3 linked regions of the Xenopus tropicalis genome follow. The protein of the gene in region 1 interacts with the protein of each later gene in a biochemical or structural test. Links are inferred from orthologs where the notes say so. Each region holds a gene or a part of one and is shown on either strand. Other genes may lie near its edges.

Region 1 (7,380 bases):
TAAAACCTAAAATGTACCCTTATATGTTCTGGGACAAATGCATCATCACTTTATACTGAAATAGCTAAGGCAACTGGTTAGTTAAGGCCCCTTTAAAGAGTTGGGTAGTTGATAGCTTTAGTCTTTGCTGTTGGTGCAACAGGCAGAAAAATCTTACCTCTCAAATCATCCCAATAGCTGATTAAAAAGCTGCTGATCAGTTATGCTGTTTTAGTGTATCAATAAAGTATTTGGCTGTATTAAGCACTTTTTGTTTCCTCTGTGTACTGTAACAGAATTACAGGATCTTTAAACATAATGCAGGGGACCCACATAAAAGGCAAGTAGGTGCATAGCTAGGGCATGGGCCCAACAGTACCCCAGGTCATTAATCATTTGAACATAACATTTTATTTTTTTTCCTGGAAGCTGTATATCTTGAAACTGTATTCTTAGACTGTGTACTGGATATCAGTTACCACTGGGTATTGTGCTGCCAGTACAGAGTGGTTCACAGATGGTGCTGCTATGCATGCATAGCTATGTGTTCTTGGCTGCATTCCTGGAGGCAATACCTACACCAGTGATCCCCAACCAGTGGCTCATCCAACCCCTTGGATGTTGCTCCCAGTGGCCTCTAAGCAGGTGCTTATTTTTGAATTTCTGGCTTGGAGGTATGTTTTGGTTGCACGAAAACCAGGTCTACTAACAAACAAAACCTTCTGTAGGCTGTCAGCCAATACACAGTCTACCAAATAGGCAATTATAGCTCTTATTTGGCATCCCTAGGATTTTTTTTACGCTTGTATTGCTCCCCAATCCTTTGTATATTTCAATGTGGCTTACGAGTAAAAAAAGTTTGGGGACCCTGACCTAGACAAAAAAGGGGGGAACTGGGCACCATAAGACTAAGAAGCAATAAAAGCACTAGGAATAAAAGAGAAGCTAGAAAAAATGTTCACCACACTAGAAAAAAAAAACACCCGTAATTGAAATGCCTCTAGAATATCAGACCAAGCTTGTCTTTAGCTGAAGAAAACCCATAGAACAGAAGACACCTTAAATATCATCTAAGAGACCAAACACTGACTCTCCTTTACCCAACATGGGGCACAGTGCTCTTCCTTTCACTAACAGCCATCTGAGAAGCTCCTGGCCATCAATCTCTGCTGGGACCACATTCATACCTTCCCCCCTACCTATATCCATAGAGCCTGCACATATACAGTGTGAGCTTAGTGTAGCTAAGTGTCATCCGGCTGATACTAACCGTACTTGCAAATGTAAATTATTTTCTAAAAATCACTAAATGATTTGCTAATGCGCCGTACCCTCACTCACTGATATAGTGCATTGGCAGATAATTGGCTGATAATCTTTGGTTTGACAAGTTTGCAGGAAGATCTGTCAGAATGACTGTGTGGGACCTAATGAACATATTTTTGAATCATCTAGTTCCCCAGGGACCCAAGTTCAACTTCCCAGGCAGCGATTGCCAACCTTGCGAGCTGGTCCCGTGTCGTGGAGAGAGAACCCACTCTCACAGAACATGGAAACCGTATAAAAAAGGGGAAATCTAATTCATCAAATATATAAATAAAATTGGACTGAGAACTTCTGATCAGATAAATCAATTGTTTGCTTTCACTCTATATCTAAAGGTGGCCATACACGGACCGATTTTTTACTTACAAACGACCGATTCCCGAACGATCCGATGCTATCGTTAAGTTATCGTATAGTTGGTGGTGTACGAACGATCGTCGGCCCACTAAACGAGCCGACATTACCGTCCCCAAAATCGATCGGCCAGGTTTAAAAATTTTGGTCGTTTAACGATAAAATCTGCCAGTTGGTGTGAGTGTCAGACATTTGTCTTTCAACGATTGTTCTCTGCGCATGTCACGATTGCCAGCAGCAGAAGTCAACGACATCGATCGTACGTAGATGTACGATCGTAGGTATTTTACGATAATGATGCGACAAAATCTTTCCCGAATTATCGTTGCCCGTGGATGGCATATCGTATGGGAACTCGATCGCCATACGATCGTTTGTCGATATAATCGTTCATCGCACAACGAGCGAAATCGCCTCGTGTATGGCCACCTTTACAAACTCCTCCTAACCTTCAAAGCCCTCTATTCCTCTGCTCCTCACTACATCTCTTCCCTTGTGTCTCCGTACGTTCCTGGCCGACTCCTTCGTTCCTCGCAGAGCAATCGCTTGGTTGCGCCCCCCACTACTACTGCGGTTTCCCGCCTTAAACCTTTCTGCCCCTTACATTTGGAATGCCCTCCCTGATGTCCTCCGGAGAGAATCCTCCCCCAGTCTTTTTAAGACTAAACTAAAAGACTTTAGACTCACCCAGCACCTGATCTGGGAACTGGCACTTATATTGTAGTGTCACCCACTGTGACCTACAGCACTTATATTTGCCTATTTGTGTCTGTAAGTTACCCCTCCCATATAGATTGTAAGCTCTACGGGGCAGGGACCTCCATCCTCTTGTGTCTTTGACTCTTAACTTATTGCAGCTGTATTTATCTGTATTTATTGTTATACTTTGTATTTATCTATTATCTTATTAACACCCTGTTTACATTAATGTATTCTACTGTACAGCGCTGCGTACATAAGTAGCGCTTTATAAATAAAGATATATATATATATATATATACACATACATACATAAATACTCTACATGCAGCTGACTGAAATGAAGCTAATTGGTCATTGGTTGCTATAGGTTACTGCCCATGTGCAAATTCACCCAGGGTTGATAAACGAGCAAAATCATCCTCACCTAGGAATATATCAATGATAACACTTTTAAATATAAACCTAATGTTCATTATATTTGTCACTAAACACAAATACTGACATCAGGCAACACCATGCTCCGCCCCAGCAACAAATCGCAGCGCCTTTCCCTTAACTGTTTCGGGCGAATAGAACCAGTATAGCTATTGGTTGCTTCTCTAGGGGCGTAACCCTATGTCTTGCGTACTGGGATTGGCTCTACAGATATATTTTGCTAAAGCGATTGGCTTAGCTTAGCCTGTGCTCTTCTCTCATTGGGTCAATTACCGCAGCACATCGAAAGGATTGGCTATCTGAGGAGCCGCCCCCTGCCGGTATGGCTGCTTTGCGGGAGGAGCACGGAGCGAGCGGACCCAAGATGTTCTCCTTGAAGAAATGGAACGCGGTGGCGATGTGGAGCTGGGATGTGGAGTGCGATACGTGCGCTATCTGCAGGGTGCAGGTCATGGGTGAGAGATACAGCTCGCTGGCACTGGGGCGAAGGCTTCGTGTTGCGGGAATTACCTTCCGCTGCCAGCAGCAGCCCTGCTTGGGGAATCGGCCATACAGTCTCTGGTGGGGGCCGGGGGTTACTGTCACCTACTGAAATGACAGGCGCACACAGGCGGTATATGGAATATACCATTACCCTTCCTGTATTGTCATCCTGGGGGGAGAGGGACATCCCATTCCTAGTAGCTTTTTATGCCCCCCTGGATGACTCAAATCTCCATAGACAGTAATGTTGCTATAGCCCCTTGGCTATTTAGCATCCTTCCCCCCCTCCCTGTGCCAATGCTTTCACCCCCCCATCTGCCCCATCTGTTTGGATTTTGCCATGATATTCCCTGTGGGACTGCACCCATGCCCACCAGTTACACTACTGCCCATACACCCCATTGTGTCACATCATTTATTCCCATACACCCCATTGTGTCACATCATTTATTCCCATACACCCCATTGTGTCACATCATTTATTCCCATACACCCCATTGTGTCACATCATTTATTCCCATACACCCCATTGTGTCACATCATTTATTCCCATACACCCCATTGTGTCACATCATTTATTCCCATACACCCCATTGTGTCACATCATTTATTCCCATACACCCCATTGTGTCACATCATTTATTCCCATACACCCCATTGTGTCACATCATTTATTCCCATACACCCCATTGTGTCACATCATTTATTCCCATACACCCCATTGTGTCACATTATTTATTCCCATACACCCCAATGTGTCACATCATTTATTCCCATACACCCCAATGTGTCACATCATTTATTCCCATACACCCCATTGTGTCACATCATTTATTCCCATACACCCCAATGTGTCACATCATTTATTCCCATACACCCCATTGTGTCACATCATTTATTCCCATACACCCCATTGTGTCACATCATTTATTCCCATACACCCCATTGTGTCACATCATTTATTCCCATACACCCCAATGTGTCACATCATTTATTCCCATACACCCCAATGTGTCACATCATTTATTCCCATACACCCCATTGTGTCACATCATTTATTCCCATACACCCCAATGTGTCACATCATTTATTCCCATACACCCCATTGTGTCACATCATTTATTCCCATACACCCCATTGTGTCACATCATTTATTCCCATACACCCCATTGTGTCACATCATTTATTCCCATACACCCCATTGTGTCACATCATTTATTCCCATACACCCCATTGTGTCACATCATTTATTCCCATACACCCCATTGTGTCACATCATTTATTCCCATACACCCCATTGTGTCACATCATTTATTCCCATACACCCCAATGTGTCACATCATTTATTCCCATACACCCCAATGTGTCACATCATTTATTCCCATACACCCCATTGTGTCACATCATTTATTCAAATAAATGATAAAAAACATAAAGTGTTGGCTACTTGTCCCACAGCATTGATGTTAATAAAGGATCTAGTTCTCTATATTGTGAAATATACACAAACAAACACTATATGGTTTGAAGTATCCAGACTCCCCTTCAGATTAGTGGAAGTTATTATTTAAGCCACACTTCAGTCTCATTACTGATCTGGGGGTATAATGAAGCACCAGCAACAAATATTGCCAAACTTAGTGATTTTTAACATGGCATCATCATAAGATGTCTGTTTTGTTGCTATTTAGTTTGTGAGATTTTGGTGCTGGTGAGATGTAGGTGGGAAAGTGAAGTAGTGGGGCCTGGATACTCGCAGGCAATGCTGAGCGCAGATTACAGCACATATCCGTCAGTTGGAACACTCACTTCTGAGCTCCACACTGTTCCTGAAAGCAATGGCAGCACAAGAACTGTTGGTAAAGTAAGAATAAGGATTTCTATGAGAGGGCAGTGTCACGCAAGCCTAACATTTGGAATGCTAAGCTTCTCCTGGGGAGGATATTGGGAGCAGTGGGAACAGGCCTTTGTCAGATGAATCCCTTGTTACCATCCTAGTTGTTTACCAAATGAGTGTGGGTGACAGACACCAGCTGGACACTCCCTACCTGAATGCATAATGCAGATTTAAAGCTTGGTGGGGAGGAATAATAATCAGTTAGGGCCCCATTGAAAGAAACAGTGTACTATACTGTTAATGACGGTTCCATGTTTTCTACTTTGTGACAACAGTTTGGGTACAGTTCCGTCCTCTTTTATCCATACTAGTCTTCCTGTGACTCTCATGGACCCATTCAGTTCCTGCGACTATCCCATTAATTTACATTGGCATTAAATCCCTACCTCACCCTGGTCTATGTAGAAATGAAAAATCTCATGTCAGATAGGTCTGTCTGTGATTATATACACACATGCACCTCAGATTGGATTCAAGCCTCTTCTGCATGGAATTCCTTCCTGTTTAGCCACATTATATAATTTATTTTTTGCTGCTGGGCAGAAGAGGGTTATAAGAGGAAATATTTTAATGGAAGGTGTGTTTTCCTTTCTAGATGCCTGCCTGCGCTGCCAAGCTGAGAACAAACAGGAGGACTGTGTGGGTATGTTAATAACTGACTGGATTTCTAAGCCCGGGGAGAGAGTTCATGGCTACCTAGTAGTGAGTGGATTAAGATGCTGGGCTTACGTCACTGTGTGCATGGGGTCATTCCTTCATAGTGAAGGGCAAATGTCTTAAGCAGTGCTTGCTTTTTATCCTGATTGGAATTGTCTCCTAGAGCTGATCTTTATCTTTCTATACTTTATTTCCTGTCAGTGTTTGCCTAGCTCTCCACATTAGAAATAAGCTTGAAGGCAGCGAAAATCAGGAAGTACATGATCTGTTATAGGATAAGGGGAGGCTAATACACAGGGTTGGGTGCCAATATGCCAGGTACCCCCAGTGTTTGTAATCGGACTGGTTCTGTAGTTTATTAATGATTGCACTGATCCTTTCTCACTAAGCTATGTACCAGCATCTTTGTAATATGTTAAGTGGCTATGACTTTGGGCCCTACCCAACCTCCCCAAAATAATCCCCCCCCCCCTTGACATTGCCAGCACTTCCATTTGATTGGGGAGTAAATGCAGGTGAGAAGATTGTACCTCAGTAGTTAAAAGAACATTGTATGCCATAAGGGTAAATCAACTCCAAGCTTCTCAAACCAGCAATGTTATTAGTGATGATTATGGGATGTAACCGTTTAGACATTTTACCTAAATATTGAATTACACTTGCTGGAACAACATTTTGTCTCCTGTACTGAGACAGCGCATTGGTGCAGTGGTAGCATTAGCTGCCTTGCAGCACTGGTTTCCTTGGTTTGATGTATGTGCCCCCTGTGCTTGCTTGCATTTCCTCTTGGTACTCGCACAAAGCAACAATGGGCTTATAAAGTACACTTACCAAGTGGAAAAGATGGTCCAGGTGCTCCAGACCCTTAGCTTAGGGAGCTGATATCCGTGGGCAAAGGACATGATTAAGTGCTCATAGGACACGAAACGCGTAGGGCATTTGGATATGTTAATTTTTTAATTTAGCTTTGAATAACAAATTTATTTTACCTTTTGTGACCATCATGGATTCTTTTGGTCACAACAGTATATATACAAACAGGCAGGTTAATTGGCAGCTGATAGAACTGACCATATTTGATGTTAATGTGACAGTTGCATTAGGTTGTAAACACTGGGACAGGGACTGATGTGAGTGGCACATACTCTCTGTATATGGATATATTGGTGCTATATAAACAAAGGCTAATAATAAACAATGAGTTACAGAATTACCCAAATGTGCAGAATTTTGCTATTCACACTAACTTTCTTTTTTTTGCAGTGGTGTGGGGAGAATGTAACCACTCCTTTCATAATTGCTGCATGTCCCTATGGGTAAAGCAGAATAACCGCTGCCCATTATGCCAACAAGACTGGGTGGTGCAGAGAATAGGCAAATAGCCAGCGTGGGACAGTCCATACACCATCCGTACCATCAGGAGAGGCATGTCTGATTTTGTGCCTGCCCGTGATTCAGGCAGTTAGTGTGCAGTGGTTCCTACTGGTGTGCATTGATTTTCTGCAGATCCCAGGGCTGGTCATGTCCACCAGCGACTGCTAATGTTC
Region 2 (7,355 bases), on another chromosome or scaffold:
TCCCTTATCCCCAGACATCTAGGGGAGAAAAAACATACAAGATCAAGTTTCCTAAAACCCTCAACAGCTTATTAAAAGGGGAATTCCACCCATACAAAACAAGCTTTTTAAAAAGTAAACAATTTCAAGCAACTTTGCAATATAGATCAACTTAAAACACAGCAGTTTCATGAATTTTAATGTAACATGGTTTGGAATGGCTCCATAAGCCTTGCCCCCTGTTCTCCTAATGATCTGGCAGACAAATGTGAGATTTAAATAAAACAGTAGTTGACTCTCCACCGCCTGCATCCTCTAAATCCCACAATTCCCTGCAAACATGTCATTAAGGAAAGGAACGCCACGGTGCAATGCATTGTGGATTATGTAGTTTCCACATGCTGTCTGTAAAATTTGGAAAGTTGTTACAATTTGTAACATCAATGTTTTAGTCCCTTCTCCCCTGCCAGGATTTCAAATGATGCAAGGAACTGTTTTGCAGATGGCTTTCAGCATATAAAAGTTATATTCATTTTTTGAAGGAACATATTACAGTGATATATATTAAGAGTTTTGGTGTTGTGTGTGGCTCTTACAAAACTTTGGTTGGTAAGTCAGAATTTCCCTTTAAAAAGTATAAAGCACAAGTACTATCCTCATTGTATGCACATAAAGTTTACACTCACCATTAAGGTCATCAGCTCCTGCTGTAACCTACGAGAGAAGAAAGAAAATAGGTGGGCACTTAAGCTTTGCTACAAATCACACTCACAATAAGAATTTGCTATGGGTGTGGCAGTCTTTGGCAGGCAATCTTTTCATGCATGGCCCTCTAAGAACAGCAGATCCCGGCAGAAGGGAAGAAGAGTCACTAGACATTAGGCTTTTTGAATGTTAATAACTTACTTGTTAAGCCCAAAATAATGGAGACAGATGCTAGCATTCGCCATGGAGGGATAAAGGCAGCATTATGGACAGCAGCAATAAATAATGGATGCCTCACGGTACAATATTTATGGCTATTGACAATAAGTATACATAATTGATAGGCTTCCTTAAGTAACTGGTAGTAAAAATAAGGGGCAAAGAGTAATTTTGCTAATAAAATTATAGCAATGGCAAAAGGACTAAGTGATTTAGAATTGGAATATTATGGTCATAGACAATATGGGTAAATAATGGATATCTACCAGCTGAGATGTTATGCTTCACTTGGTATTAATGTGCTTTATATGAATATAGGGGAGATTTATCAATTGGTTCTGTTGCACATAGAGGGACAAGTTAACCCTCTAACTAGTCACCATTGGTTTGATCTACATTTTCTCAACCTAATAGCCAAGTTTTTTTTTTTTTTTTTTAAACACAATACATACCTTATCCCTGTTTGGGCTTTAAACTATTCTGGCCAGCTGAACTTGCGGCCACCATATTGCCTTCCATTACATCTTAAAGAAGCTGTCCATCTTTGAGTTAACTTTAAGTATAATGTAGATAGTAATATTCTGAGAATTAAAAATGAAGACCAATTGCAAATTTGTAGATTATTTCAGCTTTTGCTTTTCAGCTTGGAGTTTCAGCAGCTATTTGGTTGCTAGGATACAAATTACCTTAGCAGCCAGGGTGTGATTTGAATGAAAGACTGATTTGAAAAGGAGAACACCTGAATAGAGAAATATAATCTGACAACAACAATTAAACTGTAGCTTCACAGAGCAATAGTTTTTTGGTTGCTGGGGTCAGTGACCCCTATTTGAAAGCTGCAAAGAGTTGGAAGGCAAAAGCTATAAAAAAAAATAAATGAAGACCACTTGAAAAGCTGCTTATAATTTGCCTTTCTATAACATACTAGAAATGAACTTAAATATTTAGCCAATTTAGCCATTTCTGCGCAGTAGCAGGCAGCTGGGGAAGTGGGAGAAGACAGAACCATCACTGGAGAAAACAAAGATTGCAGATCGGTGCAATCACAATCAGCAGGCAGCTATAGCAACCATAAACTAAGGTTGCCATTTGCTGATGGTTTTATACAGGGAAGGGAATCTGGAGGTCAACAGTGACACGCACTCTAATGAACAAAATCTCCAGTTCCTCTTCTGTGCATGCTCCACCAGGCTGATGATAATATTGACTCATTGCGTGAGTCCTATGTGAAGGCTTGGGCTCCAATGCTCATGTGTCCAAGGCTTTCACCAATGAACAGCATGGGCGGGTACGTCCACCTTTGCCGAAGCTAGTGTGAGACCCATCAGGTCTTGGCCTGGGGTCAAACCCAGAGGACTATGACACCAATCCATGGTGCACAAATCAAACAAGACAGGTGCTGAAGTGTGCGAGTGCAATGCCATGGATTGCCTTGGTAAGGCTCCAGCTGGCGGCCAAAAAGAAAAATGCCTCCCGCCGTCCTAATTGCCAGGGCAAATTAAGTTAAGCATAATTAAGCAGAAGGTGCATGTGCAAAGTCCCCAACTAAAATATGTCAGGCATTCCCTTATGGGAACACAGCTCCTCTGCTTTCATCAAGCTTCCGCCTGACAACCTAAAGGCCAGAGGACCAAGTGTTTCTCATTTCGATACTACACTTTGTTAGCCAAAAGGTCGTCCAGTCCGATAGACTGACCCATCTCAAAAAGGTGTGTGGCCACCTTTAGACATATGATTTTATTATTCTAGATTTAGACCAGAATCCTTTACCCCAAACACCCTCTGGCTACAGGACCATGACTGCAACCCCCCCCCCCCACCCCAGTGAATGGCACACCAAGTCAGTGCATTATCAATGTCTGATCCAGTTTCAGACAGTCTGAAGGCCCCATACATAGGCAGATAAGCTACAGACTAGGTCTGAAGTGGCCAAATTAGCAGCTGAAGTCTGCCTGGGATGGCATGTAAAATAACACTACCTTTGTTTAAGGCTTTAAGCAATTACAGCCATTGGGTGGGGGTGTCTTACATATTGCCTACCCCCCTCCCCAAGTCAATGGTGCTTTCCTTAATGGCCACACTTGCAGCAGAGTTGCCAGGTTGGTGTTTCTGCAAAATTGGGCTACCAATTTAAAGCCCTGGCAGGTTTCCAAGGTACAAACCCACCAAGGAACAGTTTGGGGCTATTTTTTGGAGCCTTAATCTACAGTTAGGATTAATATAAAACTACAATACCCAGCATGCAATTGGACAGTATAGATAGAGGCTCTGTTTTGTATTCCTTTTTGCTCTTTCAGGGTCAACCTGTATATTCTGCAACCTGCTCTATAGGGTATGTGATTGTACTATTACTTTCTGCTGTGATGTGGGGGCAGTTCTGCAGTTGATCATTAAGATATAACTCTCCGGATATCTTGGGACTGCTGAGAGTTGTAGTTCAGCACACCCATATGTATCTCATGTCTGGGGTTAATGCAACATTCGGAATCTAATTTTGTAGTCTTCCCAGCTGGACTGGGCACAGAGGTCAGGGAATTATCAGCATTCCCAGTAACTGGGTAGTGATTATACGCTTTAAAAAGGCATGTTTCCCATATATACTTGCACATTTTGGCCTATTTTTGGGCTACTTTCAGACTTTTGGACTGGTTTTAGAACTGACACTAAACTCTAAACTCATTTGACTGCAAGCTGGATCAGAACAATTTACTAACCATGGCAGCCACAGATCTGGACCAAAAACAGGATGTGACACTGTAGACAATGTAGCGGATATTAAAGGGAGTAGAGAAAACCTGTATATTGTAACTAAGCAGTGGAAGAGATACGTAAAATGAATGAAGTTTAGAAAACAGAGATATAGCTGCTATAAGCTGAATAAAATTTGATAGCAAAATATCTCAAGTGACCCATCTGAATTATACAGAGGGTGTGCCAAGATCCAGCTACACTGCCATCGCCATAAGCACAGCGGCCATTGTTCCCAAGAGCCGGCTCTCCTCACCTCTTTCCCACAGAGCCACGGGCGGCCGAGGTCCCCGACTCTTGTCCTTTCCTTGCAGTCACCGAGCTGGCCGCAGCTGGATCCACATTCTGTGAAGCCATCGGTATGTAAAAATGACAAAAACCGGGCCTTGAACGTTGCTGAGTATCCGGCTTCCACTCCCAGAGATCTTTGACGCTTCCTCTTAATTCTGTAACTAAACCTACCGCCCTCTATTTGAAATTTTTAACTTCTACACAAAGCGTCCAATCAGCGTCGCTTAAATATTTAATTTAACCAATCGGAATGCTCACAGAACGGTTTCCGCAGAGACTGGCAAGTTTGGTGTCGGAAGCGTAGGCGTTTTAAACAAAGGTACGGGATTGGCTAAAGTAGACTGCTATGCTTTATTGTGATTGGAAGAATTCCGTTGCCTATCAAAATAAATAAATAAATAAATAATACGTGTGTGGGAAAGTTCTGTCAGGAAAGAGTATTATCTTGAAGTTATACTTTTTATTATACTTTTTGTTTTTATTACGACGTGAAAAGTATAAAATACCTTTGCTCAAATTTCAATCGTTTGACGTTTTCTTGTAACAAGGATGTTAACTAACCCAGTCAAGTCATTAGAAGGAGAGCAGTACTTCTCTAATGTTACAGAGTAGTTGCCATAAACTGTTCCTGTCATACCACCCCTTTCCACCCCATGTAAAAGTCTGTCCAGCAAGGGGGAAACTAAAATAATCTTCCACTGAAGAGTCCCCATATGTGCTTACACAGAGCTGTCAACCCCCCTATATTTTTCTGAGTTACCCAATTTGGCTTTCTCTCCCATGTCTCTGGTCTGTTGATAGCATTCTGATTTTTCTCATTAAATTCATGCATGTGCATTCAGTGACAACATAGTGAGCATTTGCATATGCGCAATCAACAATTTTTCAGCTTCAAAGGTCAGTTATGCACATGTATTGACATCACTTCTGGTTAGCACGAAAAAATAACACTGCACATCCTTGACTATCGGAGGTTGACAGCTCTGCAACTCCCCCTATAATCTGGGTAGTTACTTAATTGCACTGTCCCTCCCCCAGTCTCCTGATGCTACAAGCAATTTCCCCAACTTTTCCTAAGGGCTCTGGCACACGGGGAGCTTAGTCGCCCGCGACAAATCTCCCTGTTCCCGGGCGACTAATCTCCCAGAAATGCCATCCCACCGGCGAAAGTGTAAATCGCCGGTGGGATGGCATACGTGGTGGCGCGATTTCACTGAAATCGCAGAAGTTGCGTTGAGAGGAAACTTCCATGCTCAACAGGCATCAAATTTAACTGAGAGATTTTGTATGGGTGAATGGTCAAAAATACCGCCATCGAGAACCAAGACACTCATCAAAGGCTATAGGAGGCGTCTAGAGGCTGTTACATTTGCAAAAGAAGGCTCAACTAAGGGGCCCATTTACTTACTCACGAACAGGCCGAATGCGTCCGATTGCGTTTTTTTCGTAATGATCGGTATTTTGCGATTTTTTCGGAAAATTATCGCGACTTTTTCGTTACCAATACGATTTTTGCGGAAAAACGCGAGTTTTTCGTAGCCATTCCGAAAGTTGTGATTTTTTCGTAGCGTTAAAACTTGCGCAAAAAGTTGTGATTTTTTCGTAGTGTTAAAACTTGCGCAAAACGTCGCGCCTTTTAAGTTTTAACGCTACGAAAAAAGCGAAACTTTTCGCGCAAGTTTTAACGCTACGAAAAAATCACAACTTTCGGAATGGCTACGAAAAACTCGCGTTTTTTTGCGCAAATCGTATTGGTAACGAAAAAGTCGCGATAATTTCCGAAAAGTCGTAAAGGCGCCGAAAAAATCGCAAAAAATACGAAAAAGTCGCAAAATGTTCGTTTTCCAATCGGAATTTTTCCAATTCAGTCGGAATTCGTGTCTTAGTAAATCAGCCCCTAAGTATTGATGTAATATCTCTGTGGGGGTGCCCAAATTTATGCACCTGTCTAATTTTGTTATGATGCATATTGCATATTTTCTGTTAATCTAATAAACTTTATGTCACTACTGTTTCCATAAGGCGCATATATATATATATATATATATATATATATATATTAAAAGGACGTTGCTACTTTGAAAGCTCAGCCAGTGATAAACAAAACTCCAAAGAATTAAGAGGGGTTCCCAAACTTTTTTTAATGACTGTTTGTATGTAGTACTCCATTTGGCAGTTCTGCCATTTGTAGAAGAATTGGGAACATAAATCCAAATATTACCAAATGGAAATCACTTGATTTCGCAATGTGCAAACAATGTGGTTTTAGTTGAGCTCCCAGCTCAAGTGAGTGCTGTTTGGGAATGTTTGGAATGATGCCTGATACACTAAATAATGGTAGATGGAATTGTAATGCAAACAAAGACACAGCTCACCTATAGTGCAGGGCTGGTCTTATAAACTGCAAGGCCAAATTGGAACCATTCTGGCGGGCCCCCTGCACAAAGTGTTGTCAGCTGGCACAGGGTTCCAGGAATGTATGGGTAAATAGTTCCTGCCTCTTACTATGTGACTGATGGTGTAACCCTTCCTTTTCACCACTTTCTCTTGTTCCATTGGCCCCCAACATTTCATGGCACAATGTGGGCCCCAAGCACTGTGCACTGACACGCCAAGCATACTACATACAGCGAGAGAGAGTGATTGGTCCCTCCAACACACTATACACAGTGAAAGGGGGGGTTTAATGTCCCAGAACACATAACAGTATTATTGGGCAATTATTGTTGGGGGCGGGATAGACAGCTTTATGTGCTTACTCCCCCTGGAGTGGGGCCCTATTGGGCCCAATAGGTTCAATTGACCTAAGGCTGGCCCTGCTATACTGGATTGGCAGAAAAAGGGCATATGTATGCAATAGTCCTTTTTAAAATCACAACCTTTTGTATTCTCAGCAGTGAGCCATCCACAGCAGCACCCGTCTCACCACCTATATATTACCTGTATATAAGCAGCAATTATCTTCCATCCATTTCCACTTAAATGTTTTTAGAGAGGTGTTTACAGCTTACTGTGTATATTTGACATAACTTTTCTTCATTTATGTGTGAGCTGCCACAGTTTGTTTTAGAGTCTAGCAAACAGCTACTGTACATAAAACACAGGTATACATGAGGCCCCTCCTCCTGTTCCAATGCCCCTTACATAAAATTGCATTAGTGATGCCCCTGTGGACAGTGCAGCTGAAAGACATCTGTTATGCCATGCAGCAATGTAGCTTGCCAGTCATATTCCCCTTCATTAATGCAATGGCAAACAGAATAATTTTTTCACCAGCTTGGGGGTGACGCCATATCCATTGAAATCACCTCCTATCACACACTACAGAATAGCCTGAAAGTGTTCTTTGCACTTAATCATCCCAGTGGCTGGCAAGTCTGAGTTATCTAAGCAAGTCTGCATATAACTGCATA
Region 3 (7,682 bases), on another chromosome or scaffold:
TGTCAGTCATATATTGCCTGCCCTGCCTCTATGCCTCAGGTATACAGGCAGAGGAAGCAGTTACTTTCAGTTTTCACTGCACATGCCCTCTCCCTCCTGTATAATTGTGTAGCATGGGCATTAGGTCCTCCATTCTGGCAGCTACACAAGATTTCAGGGTCAATGATACAAAACTCATCTTAATAACAGTGTCCACAAAATGGCGCCTGTCTGCTTGTTGTGCTTGTGAATTCCAAGATTGACAGAAACAAAATGTAAATAATTTATAAGTAAAGTTAATTTTGGCTAACATGTATGTATGTATGTACGTACGTATGTATGTATAACTTTGTTTATAAAGCGCCACAAGGGTACGCAGCGCTGTACAATCTTACAGAATACAAAATTACACACAGGGAGGACAAGTGATATAATAAATAAATACAATAAATATATATATAAGTGCCATGTGGTATGAGACACAGTAGGAAGGAGGTCCCTCCTAGAGCCCTGTAGAGCTTACAATCTAAGTGGTTGGGTAACATACAGGCACAAACTGGAAGGTAAGAGTGCATCAGGTATGGGAATTTGCCCTTAAGCGCAGGACTGGGCAAAATAATGTTTTAGTTAATGTTTTGTTTAACATGATACAAAATTATTGGAACTATTTATTAGGATGAGAGGTACCTTACCTGCAAGCCAAGGGCCTGAATAGAAATGTAAGTAATAGTAGCAGCTACTTGTCGTGGGTACTAAAAAAAAAACAATGCTGATCTTTTACTGATAAGTGTCTGTACATATGTTGAATTACAGAAAGGCTATCTCCCATAGACTCCACTATAAGAAATTAATTCTAATTTTTAAAAATGATTTCCTTTTTCTCTGTAATAATAGAACAGTACCTTGTAATTGATCCTTATTGGAGGGTAAACGATCCTATTGGGTTTAAATGATGTTTAAATTATTTTTTAGTAGACTTATGGTATGGAGATCCAAATCACGAAAAGATCCCTTATCCAGAAATGCCTGGGTCCCGAGCATTCTGGATAACAGGTCCCATACCTGTATTGTCTATGGCAGGTTATTTTCTGGTGTTTTGTAGCCGTGACAAGTTGCTGCTACTAAGTAGCTCCATGTGTCTTCGCCCTAACATTGTAGCCTCACAAAGTTTTCATTTGTACACATTAAAAGCTGAAGAGAGGCAGAAGAAGAAGACAGTTCAAAAAGCTGATTATGCATATAGACTCAAGTTTGTGATATATTTTCTGTGATAAACAAAACTACAACTAAATAAAAGATATACATAATACAATACAATATAATTGCTAAAATATACATTGCAGTTATTACATTTTATTTCTCAAATTCTATTGATGCTTCAGCTAAAGCAGTTATCATGGACATTTAAAGTAGTCTTTTTACTGCTGAAACAGTTGCATTGCACCAGGATGGTCCCAATTACATTGGTGTCTACCACCTCAAGAACCAAGTTCTTAAAATACTGGTACTGCCTTTGCAATGATGGTGTCAATAGAAAATGAGTTCTTGCCACTGATACTATTATACTGGCCATATACAGTATTAATGCACCTGGCCAAATGATTTGATTCCTTGGTCTTTCCTTCCAAGAAATGCCATCATGAGGTCAGGCAAAATAACCTAGGCCAGGAAAGCTTTGAAAATATTTAAGATGTTTTATGGATAATAATCTGCAAGCCCGTTTGGCCAGTTTAATACATACCAGCTTTCTGCACCTAAAATGCATGTTCAAGTTGTGTTCTGTTCTAACACATTTAAAATGACTACCCAACAAAAGGGTGGATGATCCTATGATAGAAAATTAAAAATACTGTTCCTTCGTGTTTTATTATTAAACTTAAAATGCACACCAACATCATATAATAATAAGCAAAAGATTCACTGGGCCAAATGAAAAGCTATTAAGAGTTAGCGATGTCATCGCTTCCTGCTGTGTTTCTTTACCCATCTCTTTTTCACTTGGGAGGTTGTTGCACTTTGCTGAGTTGTCCCTCTGGCCTGCTGTGGGCAACAAACTTCCTCAATGGTCTTGTGCATGCCCTATCCATTTCTGGTTACTTTGGTCTCATGGCATACCTGCACACACCCTTACTGGCCCATTCTTGCGCAGAATCAGTTGTGGGATTCAGAAATGAATAATCATCCCTGTAGCATCAATTTATATGACAGACAAACCTTATTTTCTGCTTTATAATTTGTAACAACCCCTAAGCTTAGCTTCTCAGCCACTGCCCAGAGCACACTGAGCATGTGAGTGTCACAGACTCTTCTAACAGAGTCATTCCCTGTGACAACTCTGAAATACTGGATCAGTACTATAATAAATATGCTAAACCTTTAGGCTGGAGCAATAAGTCCAGTATATAAAAACTTCCCAACTTCTTGCCATATTAATTTTTAAGGGTTTAGATCTCCTTTAACAAGGAATGTAACTTTAAAGCAAGCACACCCTGTGACTGTTGGGAGCCTGCTGAATAATAAGTAGTTTCATTATATGTATATGAAAGATATTATTTCTAATTTCAAGGTGTGCCAAAATGATTTTTCAGGGCCTAGTAACTTCTACTTATGCTACTGTTTACAACACCGTACATGGAGTAGGAAGCAACTAGTCTTTAACTAGTAGTAGTGAAGTGGCATTTTACAAAGTGTAGCACCGGCCTGATGGAAAGTGTTGGGGGCACCCAATAAATTGCCACCCACTGAATCTAAGTTTCCCTGTCCTTTAAAGTGCACCTATGACCCTTTAACTGCTTCTCCCACCAGAGGTGCAGGCTAATAGACGCAGCACTTTGGTTGAGGGAAAACGATAGTTTGGTTTTTAAAAAATACAGCAACTGCCATTTCTAGGCTGCCCGCACCTGAATGAAGCTCCCAGTACAGGCAACCATGTTGTTTGCCATGCGTGGGCATAATAAATGCGCCTTTCCACTTGCAGATGATGCGCATGCGCCTGATCTAGGCGTGGTGGATGCAATTCACCCTCCATCACAAGCATGCACATAATAAGCAACTTGTGGCACTCACTCATTATGCACATTGTGAGAAATGAGGCAATATGGCTGCCCACACCTGGAGCACTCTTCTGCTGCAGGCAGCCTAGCAATGGTAGGAGCTTTTTTTTTTTTCACAAAAAGCTATTGTTTCCCTAACCTCTGATGAGGGAAACAATTTGAGGGTGATAGGTGCCCTTTAAGGTGAGCTGTATTAGAAGGTTATATTCTAGGAGATTAAAGGATATATTCACTGTTCATTCAGAAACTTTGTGTCAAGTTGAAGTTTTCTACTGCACTACTAAATAAAAGCTCTGTAAATCACGTTTCCCCACTAGAAACCAACATCTAGCTTTGTTCCCATCAGCCTCAGCAAGACCCCTCCTTCCTCCGCTCAGATTACACTTCCCTCGCACCAGTGCGTCACAGTGTTCGTGGGCTTGTGGGATTTGTAGGCTGCTCCTCCCACAACGCCGTGGCTTCACTTGCAGTTTCCGGCACCCGTTACTCTTCCAGCCAGCAAGTTAATTCGCAAAGCGGCTCCGTTGTGCCGTAACATGTCGTAATAAAGCCTTTAGTCGTCTAGCAGCCCCTTCTTGCTAAAACACCAAAAGCCTACTGATCCCATCCTGCCCTACGCGGAGGACGCTGTGGGCTCCTGGTTAGAAAGCGGGGAGCGGAACTACCATGGCCCGGCCGGTGGCGCCGGTGCCCAGCTCTCAGAAGGCCTTGATGCTGGAACTCAAGGGGCTACAGGAAGAGCCGGTGGAGGGGTTCCGGGTCACCCTGGTAGATGAGGGGGATCTGTACAACTGGGAGGTGGCAATCTTTGGCCCCCCAAACACCCTCTATGAGGGGGGGTACTTCAAGGTGAGGGTTAGGTGTGTGTGAAATGGTGGAGTTCGTGATCATAGGGGCCTTGGGGAGGGAAAGCCACGCTGGGGGGTATTTAAAGAGGCAGTAAGTAATAGAGGCGTGGGTGGGTATTGCGTACATCGCTGGGCCTTTCTGCACAACAAGCTTTCCTTTGTTTATGTGACTCCTACAGCCATAGCCGTAACTTGCCCGAAACTAATGTTTCACATGAAACTCAACCAGCCCTCAAAGCTACCCCAAAACTAAAACTTACTGAAAGAGTGTGGCACTACTAAATCTTTAATCCTGTTTTCTGCGAGTTGTAGTCCAACAACAGCTGCTAGGCCCCAGCCACAGGATGCACGGTGTTAGAAAGCAATAAAGGCCTTTGTGTAACAGGAAAACGCTCTAAACTCTTCATCTAACTTCTGATTTGGCACTTTGTGTTTGTGGAGATACCCTGGGTTTATATGTATTCATCCTGTGCCTATTTCATAAAGATTTTCAGAAGATTAATCAAACATAGGCGTTCCACTCTTTTACATTTTAGTATGCCATACTAGCTACATGTATGAAGCCTCATTCTTTTAAGGATTAAAGGGGTCTCTATACTTAGTTTTGGGCAGTTTTGTTAAGATGTGCCTTCTATAGTGTGTGTGTATATATATATATATATATATATATATATATATATATATATATATATAATATTAGTTTCAAGGGACTACTTATTCCTAGACATTTGCACAGATCAAGAAATTTAATAGGGGTTTATAATGAGATGTTAAATGGCTAGAACAATGTAATTGTGTTTTACAGGGGTGGTTCACCTTTAAGTTAACTTTTAGTATCTTATATAAAGACCTATTCTAATCAACTTTTCGAATATTCTTCATTATTTGTTTTTCATAGTTTCTTAATTTATTTGCCTCCTTGTCCTAACTCTTTGCAGCTTTCAAATGGGGTCACTGACCCCTGAGCCAAAAAAAAATCATACTAAAAAGTTAAGTCAAAGGTGCACAACCCCTTTAAAGGGGTTGTCCACCTTTTACTTAATTTTTAGTATGATGTAGAGCGTAATATTCTGAAACAATTTGCAACTGGTTTTCATTTTTTATTTGTAGTTTTTTTTAATTATTTCAGTTTTTGGTTGTCTCCAGCTTGGAGTTTCAGCAGCTATTTGGTTGCTTGGATCCAAATTACCTAAGCCACCATGGTGTGATTTGAATAAAAGACTGATATATAAATACGAGAGGGCCTGAATAGAAACATAAGTAATGTACAATAACAGTTAAACTATAGCTTCGCAGAACAATAGTTCTTTGGCTTGGGGGTCAGTGACCCCCCTTTGAAAGCTGCAAAGAGTAAATAATTCAAAAACTATGAAAAACATAATGACTAATTGAAAAGTTGCTTAGAATTGGCCTTTCTATAACATACTAAAAGTTAACTCAAAGGTGAACCACCACTTTCAATATATGTATAATATACATATTATTAGGGATACACTGAATCCAGGATTTGTTTCGGCGTTTGGCCAAGATTCTGCCTTTTTCAACAGGATTCGGATTCAGACGAATCCATGTGCCTGGTTGAACCAAATCTGAATCCTTAAAATCACTATTTCTTTATGTAAACCCAGAAGTTGAACATTTTTATTCCTTTTATAGGTTAGTTTTCAAATGCAAATTAGAGTTTGGTTCGGTATTAGGCCAAATCTTTTACAAAGGTTTGAATCATAAAACTCTGGAATTGGTGCATCTCATTATCCAGCCTCCCTGGAACTGAAAACAGACCTTATTTTTTATTTACTTATCATTAATCTGATGACAGCTGAGCTTGCTTACCCATCATGCAGTTCTATAAGTATGAGATCTATTATTCTGAAAGCTTTTGGACATAATTCAAATCTTTTATTGGGGCCTCTTGCATGATAGCCACATTCAGAGTGCCAATGCACCCTCATTCAATAGGATTTTCAAACTTGCCGTATTGAAAATTGATCAGCTATTGGTCAGACGGGCCCTATACACGAGCCAATAAGCTGTTAATTTGGCCTGGAGGCACTGACCTAGCAGCTTTTATTGGCCCGTTTATGGCCTGCTGAAGCATTTAAAAATAAAAACCAAGATGATCTTTTAGCCAGAAACATGGATTTATGTTAGCTTAGTTATCATAAAGCACAAGATACTGTTTTATTGTTACTACAGAAAGAGAGCAAACAAGTAAAAAATTAATAAATTACACTTTTTTTTTTAATAGACTGAAATTTGGTTGATCTACTCTTAGATATGTTGCTTGAGAACCATTATTTTGTGCTAATCGGAGCTACGGTGTGTTATAACAAAGGCATGGATCTCAACCATACTCACTTGCTTGTTAACCATTACATGTTCTTTTTGTCCTAGGCCCGCTTAAAATTTCCAGTTGATTACCCCTACTCTCCTCCTGCGTTTCGTTTTTTGACAAAGATGTGGCATCCTAACATCTATGAGGTTAGTAAAGACAGGTTGGCTTCTTCCCTTGGTGTAGGATAAAGACAGTTGCATATAGGGCATTTTCTCATCACTGAGTAAAATGCACACTTTTTCAGCAGCACTTCCCATTCAGAGTGGGATTATTTGCTGACTGTGGTACACTGCAGTGCCACTAAGGTTTAACTTTTGTGTTGTAATGTAAAAATTGCCTTAGTTACATGATCTTTGATACATTTTTTTTATGAATCACTGAGCTTATACAAATGCTTCGCTACCCTTGTTTTTATAAGGGCAGAAATTCCTGCTCATCCTGATTTTTCCATTTTCATTATATATTAGTGTGGTTATTTTGTTAATGGCTAGGTATACTAGTCGTTACGTATTCATATATATTTCTGTTTTTTTTTTTATGAATCATTCTCTCCCAAAATGGATGAACACATTTGTGCCTTAGACAATGCCTAAAGATCAATGTTCTCAGCAGTCTATACCAATTTAGTTGTTTCATAGACTTCTAGTATTGCATAGGCCACTCTTGCTGGACCTTGGTAAGTGACTGCTCAAGTAGTCATCAAGGTATACTGCCGTAGGTGTAATGTCTTTTGTATTTCCTGTTCTCTCTACCTCTAGCGGTGCCAAAGCTTCTATATTAAGCTGTCCATTTACTGTAAGATTCTCTGCTTTGGGAAGGTTGCCAAATGAGTGGATCCTACATTCTATATGCCTGCCTAAGTTAGGCAATATCAGGAAAATCCGATTTTTGCCCAGATATCCGTCAGGGAGGCCCATGATAGAGCCCCATACATAGGCAGGTAATCTGCCAAATCGGTCGGTAGGACCTAAATCATCATGTATGGCCACGTTTACACTAGGGATAATTTTCTAATTGATCTAAGATCTGATAATCGGTATTAGCCTACTTCTAATTATAACATCTAATAAAGCTTGACTATCAATAAACCAATAATTCTCACCAATGGACTTCAGAGTCAGGTCCAATACTCACTGGCAGTTACATATGTAGCTATTTTATAAATTAAAATTGTTTGACTTGTTTACTTCTTTTAAAGGGCTAAAGCCCTTGAATCTCTGGCCATTTAAACAGAGTACAGTTGACAACCATTTGTTGTTGACTATATCAGTCAGCTTTCAGGGGCCCTGTGCAGTTGGTTTGCACTAAATTTTAGATTGAAAAAACCTGGATGACCAAACCTTGCTTAGCAATATTTGCATTCATTAGCCAGCCTGGGGTTAAATTGGAGACAAAATTACCAGAGTGACAGAATAAAAGTTCTTAGGCAAAACATCTGAAATTGTCACATCTCCTAGATTCTAGGTT

Evidence for each region. The genes of interacting proteins can lie anywhere in the genome.
Region 2: the proteins of rnf7 (region 1) and ube2c form a complex in vitro, tested with the Homo sapiens proteins (4 studies listed by BioGRID). The link is inferred for Xenopus tropicalis from reciprocal best matches to the Homo sapiens genes RNF7 and UBE2C.
Region 3: the proteins of rnf7 (region 1) and cdc34 form a complex in vitro, tested with the Homo sapiens proteins (5 studies listed by BioGRID). The link is inferred for Xenopus tropicalis from reciprocal best matches to the Homo sapiens genes RNF7 and CDC34.

The regions. Positions count from the first base shown.
Region 1 is NC_030681.2:129,412,361-129,419,740, forward strand, and holds the start of rnf7 (RING-box protein 2), read left to right. Parts: upstream 1-3,079; 5' UTR 3,080-3,118; coding exon 3,119-3,251; intron 3,252-5,771; coding exon 5,772-5,819; intron 5,820-7,096; coding exon 7,097-7,215; 3' UTR 7,216-7,380. UniProt on the Homo sapiens protein: Catalytic component of multiple cullin-5-RING E3 ubiquitin-protein ligase complexes (ECS complexes), which mediate the ubiquitination and subsequent proteasomal degradation of target proteins.
Region 2 is NC_030686.2:19,652,387-19,659,741, reverse strand, and holds the start of ube2c (ubiquitin-conjugating enzyme E2 C), read right to left. Parts: upstream 4,142-7,355; 5' UTR 4,009-4,141; coding exon 3,908-4,008; intron 694-3,907; coding exon 666-693; intron 19-665; coding exon 1-18. UniProt on the Homo sapiens protein: Accepts ubiquitin from the E1 complex and catalyzes its covalent attachment to other proteins. In vitro catalyzes 'Lys-11'- and 'Lys-48'-linked polyubiquitination.
Region 3 is NC_030677.2:105,627,312-105,634,993, forward strand, and holds the start of cdc34 (ubiquitin-conjugating enzyme E2 R1), read left to right. Parts: upstream 1-3,541; 5' UTR 3,542-3,698; coding exon 3,699-3,881; intron 3,882-6,274; coding exon 6,275-6,361; intron 6,362-7,682. UniProt on the Homo sapiens protein: E2 ubiquitin-conjugating enzyme that accepts ubiquitin from an E1 ubiquitin-activating protein, and catalyzes its covalent attachment to other proteins by an E3 ubiquitin-protein ligase complex. In vitro catalyzes 'Lys-48'-linked polyubiquitination.